Linked DNA regions of Rattus norvegicus. The protein of the gene in region 2 interacts with the protein of the main gene of each other region in a biochemical or structural test. Links are inferred from orthologs where the notes say so. Each region holds a gene or a part of one and is shown on either strand. Other genes may lie near its edges.

Region 1 (4,437 bases), on a different chromosome or scaffold from region 2:
ACCCAGCATCCCCAAGAATACAATAATCCCTCTTGTTGTAGAGTGTGTTGTCATATCTGGTTTCACTCTGCTTCAGCCTCTGTGTGACACAAGGCTAGGAACAAACACATAGGCGTCCTAGTTTTGCCGATAACAGGTGCTTTTTGTATGTCTCATTCAACAATTGAGGAAACTGAAGTTGGAGAGAAAAAACAATGTTAGCAGGTAGAACAAAAATCTAAACCGGAGGCCACCTGATTGCCAAGTTCCTTCTGTCGCGACACATCAGTGTGCACTTACTTCTAGCACCCATTTTGCAGTACTGCAAACTCCTGTGTCTCCAGGCCTTACAGTTAGCCAGGTGGCTTACTGGGAACGGTCTAATAGTCGTACCACAGGGCTGTGTCATCCGCTGCCATGACCAGCTGTAACCAGTAATGGCTGCCAGGGTAAGGGAGACAGCAAAGAGAGGGGCAAGACGATGAGGTCTGCACCTGATTCTAGTTCTAGAGACTTAAAGCAGAAAGAGACGGCAGGTGCCCAGAGGAGGAACAAACGAGACAGACACAGTCGGGGAGAGGTAGACTTAAAATTCCTAGAGTTGTAACGTGTCCGTGTGTTCTCTGAGGGTAGGCTTCTCTGTCACCTGGAACCGTAACCCACCTCTCAGAACTGTAAGAATGAATGAGGGTAACGATAAAGTCCCAGCTACTATGCTGGTGGGGAAAGATTTCTGTGCAAGTCCAGTTGGTGGGAACTCACTATTGGTAGACAAGAGGACCTGGCATGGCCTGTCAATCTCCCAACATGCTCTCTGTCTGCTCCTCCCCCTGCCATTAGCTGCAGATGCCTGTGAGCTGAGTGCCCAGCCCAATGGCGGCTGTGAATACCTGTGCCTTCCTGCTCCTCAGATCTCCAGCCACTCTCCCAAGTACACCTGTGCCTGTCCTGACACAATGTGGCTGGGCCCAGACATGAAGAGATGCTACCGAGGTTAGTGACAAACATTGCCCTGGACTCGTAGGGACTCAGTATGCTCCAGCTTTTCCTCCAACTTCCCCGGTTGCCTCTCACATCTGCACCTTCGTCTTATCTAAACGTCCTTGACAGAGTGAGTTCATGGCACCCTCCAAGGCTTTCCCATCTCCAAGAAAAGTGCAATGCGCATAAAATGCTTTAAATTCGACTTTCAGGAAGTTTCTAGAATCCCTTGAAAACCAAGTTAATGGGGCCTGGAGTAGGCTCCGTGGCTGAGAGCACTTGCTGCTCTTGCAGAGGACTCTGGCTCAGTTCCTAGCACCTATATGATGGCTTTCAACCATTCCTAACTCCAACTCCAGAAGTTCCAACCCTGATTCCTTCTACTGACTTCTGAGGATACCAGGCGAGCTCGTGGTGCCCAGGCAAAGCACCCGTAGATACAAAATAAAAACAGATCAAAAAGTAAAAATTAAAATGAAGAAAACTTCGAGTAAAGAGCCCTTGGTCCTTGCTGACCATTTGTAGCAGATGCCTGTTCTTAGCTAGACCTGGCACACTGCGTAGATGCCCTTGAGTGCAGTTGTGACTAATGGTGGACTAGCACTTCATCCTCACAACTGGGCTTTGTTTCTCAGTCCCCATGTGTAGCCAAACCTTGGGTTTGAGCATCAGGCCTGTTACATCATTTACAATGTCCAGATTCAACTGTTTAACGTGAAGAATTTAAACCTGACGATGTAACTACAGACGAGGATGAAATGCTTCTCAATTTGTATTTCTGCTCCCTCTGGTCTTTTACAGAGGCCTCCTCCACACTTGTCTCCACAGCTCTGTCCCACGGACCCGTCTTTATCAGATCAAAGTGAAGTGCTAGGACTCAGCTTCAGAGAAGATCACGGCCCATTCGGGGATGGGGGAAAGTTTCACAATAGTGGCATCTGAGCTAAGCCCAGAGGCTGAGCCCCTACTGGAACTCAGCAACCATAACTGGGCACCAAAGCAACAAACTGCTGTCTTTCCCCTCTAGCACCTCCGTCTACCTCAACTACAACCTTAGCCTCTGCTATGACAAGGACAGTACCTGCTACTACGGGAGCCCCTGGGACAACCATCCACGACTCTACCTACCAGAACCACAGCACAGAGATGCCAAGCCAGACAGCTGCCGTCCCTCACTCAGTGAACATCCCTAAGGCTCACAGCACCAGCCCGTCCACCCTGAGCCCTGCAACCAGCAACCACTCCCAGCACTGTAAGGAAGTCAGCTCTGCATTTCGTATAACTTGGGGGAAGCCAAGATGAGGGTCGGGAGTGGCTAGGAAGGAAGATCTTGTAATGTCCACCTCTTAGGAGGAAGCAAGGGAGAGAAGGTCCTGTCCTGGGATTGAGGAAGCTTGGGTGTCCATAAGTTTAAAAGGACCTGGAGGCAAACCATTCGTTCATCTCTAAACGTCAGTCTCCCCCTAAAAGGAACCAATAATAAGCTACACTCGACTTGCTTCTCAAGATGGTCAGGAGAGGCAAAGGCTCCTGGCAGTGGTGGTCAGCAAACAGGAGACAGGACAGGCAGATCTCTAAGTTTTAGGCCAGCCTGATCTACATAGAGAGTTCCAGGCCTGCCAAGGCAATATGGTAAGACCCTGCCTCAAAGAGGGAACTAGGCAAAAGAGGCATTGTGAATGGAAGTGCCCAGCTGCCTGGGTATGTGTCAGTGTTCCATGTGTTCCTGAGGTGGGTGTCGTCGAGTTTGGAAAGCTCTATCCGAGCTCCCGGCAGCCTTGGTAAGCTGCCCAGGCAGTAATGTCTGTAAAGTATGATCTGCTTGTGCCTGTTTCCAAATCTTGGATAGAATAACTAAGCTTAGTACTTCTTTAATCCTTGGGAGCAGTAATTGTCCTGTTGGAACAGCTGTATCTCATTAACCAGAAAATACCTTTATAATTGCCGGGGGGCTTCATTTTAAATGATAAACCATCTCTCATTTTTTCCCCATACACGGCTGGCCCAGAAACCAAGCAACCTGGTGACATTGTTCAGATCAGGGCTGTTTAGCCAGCAGAGGCTAGGTTCTAAGAATAGACGTTTGAGGCAGCCTGGTGTTTGCAGAGGTGGAATTCCATTTCCTCTCATGGGGGCAGAGGTCTGAGTGTTCTCTCAGGTCTTGGGACGTTTCCTAGCACATCAGAGCAAGGGGACAGCAGTGCTTCCAATTAGCTTGTTTTCTTCCTTCTTTGTATGCGTGCATGCCTGTGCGTGTGTGCGTGCGGGCGTGTGTGTGTGTATGTGTGTGTGTGTGTGTTTGTGTGTGTGTGTGTACATGTTCATCTTTGTGCACGTGTGTGTACTGAAGGTGTATAATATGTATGTGTGCTTGTTGAAGCTGGAGATCAACCTTGGGAGTGTTCTCAATAGTTCTGCAATATAATTCTTGAGACAGTCTCTCACAGAACCTGGAGCTCACTGGTTCAGCTAAAGTGGCTGGCCAGCAAGCTTCAGGTCTCCTCCTGTCTCCTTCCTCAGCCAGGGCTATGGGCACATGCTGCCATGCTTGGCTTTACATGAATTGGGAGCAGAACTCAGATCCCCATCCCTAAATGGCAAGCACTTAACAAGTGAGCCATCTCTCCAGCGCCCTCCAATTAGCTAACTTGGTGAACAGGGCAGCTCCCTGATTAGCCAGAGTTTCTTGAAGTAACATGGAGAAATAGATTGGGGGGCATTGCCAGTGGCTAGCCATTCCTCTCACACCTCAGAGGGCTCTCATGGGATCCCAGGGCATAGAGCTGTACAGGTGTCTCAGGTGTCTTAGAGCTAGGGAAGGATATTTATTTAAAACAATACATTTATAATTACTCTTCATTTAAGAATGGGCTTTTATGTGCCTTTAACAGCAACAAGGATCCTTTAGAGATGGGGTCTCGCTATGTAGCCCAGGCTAGTCTAAACTTGAGGTCTTCTATCCTTACCATCCCGAGTGGGGTGTGATATGCATTCACCATCATGCCTGGCTAACAAACCTTTTTAAATTTAACCCTCATCATAACTACTACCACCTCACTACCATCTTGAATTAGGCAATGCCAGCCAGATATTGTGCTAAGTATCTGATATGATCCCATTTAATCCTTAAATGGACCCCTAAGAGGTAGAAAATATTTTAAGATAAATATAATATACATATAATATACATTATACGTTTAATATTACATTAACTTCCACAGGGTCACACGGGTAATGTGTAATAGAGATAGAATTTGAACCGAGGAAGCCTGACCCAGAAGCCTATGCTCCCAATTACACTCTACTACATTCCAGTATATCAGGTTTTAATCTCTTAGGAAAACAAGCTGGTAGTGCATAGAACAGGCAGACCACCAAAACAGTGGAGACAGTGCATTGGATTTTAGTGGAAAAAGACAGCCAGCCCCATCGGCAGCAAGGAGACCTAAGCTCTCACCTGCCGCGTAGCCCCCAGCT
Region 2 (4,437 bases):
TTTTAGGTAGACTTGTATTTTCCGTGAACTGTATTATTTATAATCAGAAGTTGGATTCAGGAAAAAGAGGGGATGTTCGGATGTATTTTAAAGCACTGTGACATGTTTTAAAACCATAAACATGATTTCCTTGTTCATTTAAAAATAGGTCAGCGCTGCATTTTCCACACGTTAAACTGTACATTATGTTTTGCTGTTAAGGCTCTGGCTCATCAAGCGACCAGGGGATATGCATTGTGACAGGGCATGACTCTCTGAGCCAGCTTAAAATGTGATTTTTTTTTCTGAGTGACTATGCTCAATTTAGAAAATGACTTCTTGTGTGCTACAGAAGCACTGGCTAGTTGCTTACGGACACCCTGGACCGTATTTCAAATATTCTCAACTAAATTTGCTGATGAGGAGTCATGAGGAACTTGAGGATGCATTGCATTTCTACTGAGCTCCTTACTAAGAGTTCGAGTACCAATGACTATAGTCAGTAGAAGGGGAACAAGACAGACACAATATTATTTTTCGAAGTTAGAGTGAATAAATATTTCTTGAGATTATAAAATGACAGATTTTGTTTAGGTGTTTCACAGGTGATGTCGGTATTGAACAAACATAGGTCTTGAATTAGAAATTACGTGACATGTGTCTTGTTGGGGACTTTGAATGGAGAGACGCCTAACATTGGCACGGGAGGTGTCACCCTTAAGAGTTCCTGGCTTCTGCTTTAGGGCCACAACCGTGTGCCACAATTACCTAGCATGCGATAGATCCAGGTCCCGTGTTACCAGCATGCGCAAGCCATCCTCATTGAAGAAGAGGTTGTTCCCACTGGAAAGGATCCCACATTTTCGAGAAGGTTTCCCACCGCTCATTAGTAAGAATCGATCGGATTCCAGTTGACCTGAGAGAGTGGAAAACGTGGTTTACCCATGACCATGTTTATTACAGTTTCAAAGAAATATGACAGAGTGTGTCATGTGCTTTTAAAATGTGAAGCCATAAACCCTAAGTGTGCATTTTGGGATAAAAGGACTCTTTATCACATGAACGTCTTCAGTGTTTTTAGCCTTGAGTGATAAAAAGGTACACATGTCAGAGAGGGGCTTTTCCTAACTATCTGTGGTTCAGCCAGGCAAGCGCACATCAAAGAAAAATGCTGGTTAGTCAGGAAGAGAATGAGGCCAGAAGACAGGCCAGAAGCTGGGACACAGCGTCTCTACCGTGTCCTTCCCAATCAGAGGCAGCCTTAACGGAGGAATAACACAGTATCTTTTGAAAATGGATGCTTTTGTTTTTGTTTTTTTTTAATCACAGACATTTAAATATAATTTAATAGTTGCTGTTAAATGCCTTTCAAAGCCAGTTTTCAAATCTACTCAGATGTGAATTTAGTTTTCTTTAATGAGGGAAAATGCACAAAACATGTTTACTGTATTAACAACTTAAAAGCGAATAATCCAAAATGGTATCGGTGTATTTCTGATGTAAAACCTTTATCACTAACTATTTCAAGGTTTCCATCCCCTCAAGGAGAAGAAGCCTGTATCAATAAAGCAGTAGCTTCCCTTTCTTCTGCATCCCTGGCAACCAAGCAGTCTGTTTATTTTTAATCTCCAAGGACAGGTTTATTTGAGATGCTGCACACAAACAGAATATGCAGTAGATTTTTTTTGGGGGGGTCTGGTTTCTTTTACGTATTATATTATTTCCAAGGTTCATATACATTGTAGCATGTATCAATAGTTCAAATGTTTTATGGCCGTGTAATGTTTCCCTGTATGCTTGTACCTAAATGTAGTGTTAAGATGTATTATAAAATTATAAATAATAAAAATGATTACACATATTTTACAATTATTAAAATAAAATAATTAAAATAATAAAATAATTAAAAATGAAATAATTTAAAAATGATAAAAATTATTAAATGATTAGAAAATTAATTAAACAATAAAATTATTAAAATTAAAACAATTAAGGTTTTAATTATTTTAACAATTCAAAATAATTGAAAGAAAATGGAGGAAAACAAAATCTTTTGATCTGATTCGCTAACACACATGGCTGCTGTATTGGTCCACCATATGAAAATGTTTTAATCCAACCTTTGGTAAAAGCACATCTACAATTCAGATGCACCCAATGTAACTAGTATATAATGTACACTTTTCTCTGTCGCAACACTCCCGTCATATGTATTGATGTAAAATAAAGGTGTGGAAAAGGAGAGGCTGCCTGAATGGTTGGTGGAACCAAGATTTCTGAAAAACTGTTTCTTATAATCCAAGATTACCCCTTAGGCATATTCTTGTGCCACTTGTCAGCAATTACATGTGGTATCAAAAGTCATGGAAATAAAGCAGTTGTAATAGCATGCACAAGACCTGAACAAGCCCAGCCAGACCAAGTTCCAGCAGGAAGGCAGTTAGTTGGGCATGAAGTTTCTCCCTAGCCAAGGAGCTGCTGGCTATACAGCTTTTGTGAGAGGGAGAGACAGGGTTGTCTAAGAGTATAGTCCTGATAAGACCGTTCTCCGTGCAAGGCCCCATAGCCACGAATATTTGGGCAGTTCAAACTTAAAGGGGAAATAAAAAGGACACGGCGTCGGGTGGGACAGGAAATGAGTGGATCAGTAGATCTAGGAGGAGTCAGAGGGGAGAGGGTGAATGATCAAAATACACTGTGCAAAATTCTCAACTAGCTAATAAATGTGAAATGTGAAATATAATCAACTAATTTACTAAAGGAATTTGATTTTTCTCATAGGTTCTTAGATGTATAACTATCTATGTATAAGTATCTATCAATAGCATCAATAGTAGTATCAAGACATTAATGACCTTAAAAAAAGACATTAATGATCTAACCTGTCTATCGAAAATTAAATAAATCTTACAAAAAAGTGGTGAAGGTAACCTTTAATTTCTCAATTAAAGTCTTATTCATTCTCCCTCACTAACCGCCGTGTCAAAAGTGTAACCCATAAAATTCAGAGAGAAAGGGACTTTGGTGTGTTGGCCATTGTAAAGACGACTATTAGAATATATGTGAGTGGTTAATTCTCCAACACAGGTTGTGCTTATAGGTAAATTCTTCCAAGAAGCACACAAAGAAGACTACCTTCAAAATCGTCTTTGAGAAAATCAGGATTTTTGGTGCTTATTTTGCAGGTTGGACCGGAGTAGCCGGGATCACATATACACTTGGTTCCATTGACGCAGCTCCCATGCCCACAGCACATCTCTTCGCACTGGGGACCAATGTAGACATTATCAATGGCCCACGTGACCGGCTGAGAGCCGGCGGGATAGAATCCCTGGTACCAACGGAAACGCACAGATCTGGAAGACAAAGCAGGGTGTCAAAGTTACCCATGAGGACATCACATCTTTAGAGCTAGCACCCTCGGTCCATGAGCAGAGGGGGATTGCTTCTTATACATCAACTTAGAAGACAGAGGAAAATGAGACTTGCCATTTGTGGGAAATTCTAATTTTATTTTTTTTGGGCAGTAGAATTTTACCAGTTACTGAAAAACTGCACCTGATCTTCCTGTGGTCCCAACACTGGCTCTCTTGATAAAATGATAAAAGCTAGTTGACTGGCACCGCTCTGCATAACTAAACGTTAAAAAAATGGTATAAAACTCATGAACACAGAATCAAACATTATCACACCCTTTCACGGTTTTTAACACAGTAACTGCTCAATAAATTTAAGAGAAAAAAAAAGTTAGAAAATCAGATTTATTTTTTGGGTTGCTTCTTCTTATGTCTTGTTTTACTTTTTTACTTTTTAATAAAAAATAAGCAAATGTGTCAGGGTTGGTGACTCATGCCTGCAATCTCAGAACCTGACATAGAGATAGAAAGACTCCCATTAGTTTGAGGCCAGCCTCTGCAGAGAGTTCTAGGCCAGCCTAAACTCTGTTTTGTTTTTATTTTTTAAATATAAACCTAACCAACCACTGGTCTCCTCCTAGCATATCGCCTAAATCACCATCATCACCAAAATTAGCAACTGAGTTATCTTATCATGTTACTGGTGACAAACACGTTACTGGAAATAATCATTTAACCAGAAGTCCAGAAATAACTTTTTTTTTTAAAACATGCATAAAAGTCAGCTCAGAGAAGATAGAAGAGAGGGGCTAGGCATTAGATAGGTCATGGACACTTACTTTTGCGTCCCATGAATTTACCTATCTTCTTGTGACCACGTAAGCTAAAATCTGACGTTTTTAATTTGAGAAACTGAAACTGAAGTTAAGCACTAGGGTTGGGGATGGCTGCAGAGACAGAAGCTGGGTAAGCCTCCGCAGGGTAGCAGGGACTAAGGCAGACAGAGCCAAGTTCTCCTGTACTGTCTCATTGTTTACAGCAAGACCCCAGGTAGACTGGGCTGACCCCAAATGCCAACTGATAATTAAAGCAGGCTCTCCTC

What was found. The genes of interacting proteins can lie anywhere in the genome.
Region 1: the proteins of Reln (region 2) and Lrp8 form a complex in vitro, tested with the Homo sapiens proteins (7 studies listed by BioGRID). The link is inferred for Rattus norvegicus from reciprocal best matches to the Homo sapiens genes RELN and LRP8.

The regions. Positions count from the first base shown.
Region 1 is NC_086023.1:127,847,233-127,851,669, forward strand, and holds part of Lrp8 (low-density lipoprotein receptor-related protein 8 precursor), read left to right. Parts: intron 1-819; coding exon 820-972; intron 973-1,987; coding exon 1,988-2,212; intron 2,213-4,437. UniProt on the Homo sapiens protein: Cell surface receptor for Reelin (RELN) and apolipoprotein E (apoE)-containing ligands. LRP8 participates in transmitting the extracellular Reelin signal to intracellular signaling processes, by binding to DAB1 on its cytoplasmic tail.
Region 2 is NC_086022.1:13,987,963-13,992,399, reverse strand, and holds part of Reln (reelin precursor), read right to left. Parts: intron 3,336-4,437; coding exon 3,115-3,335; intron 896-3,114; coding exon 748-895; intron 1-747. UniProt on the Homo sapiens protein: Extracellular matrix serine protease secreted by pioneer neurons that plays a role in layering of neurons in the cerebral cortex and cerebellum by coordinating cell positioning during neurodevelopment.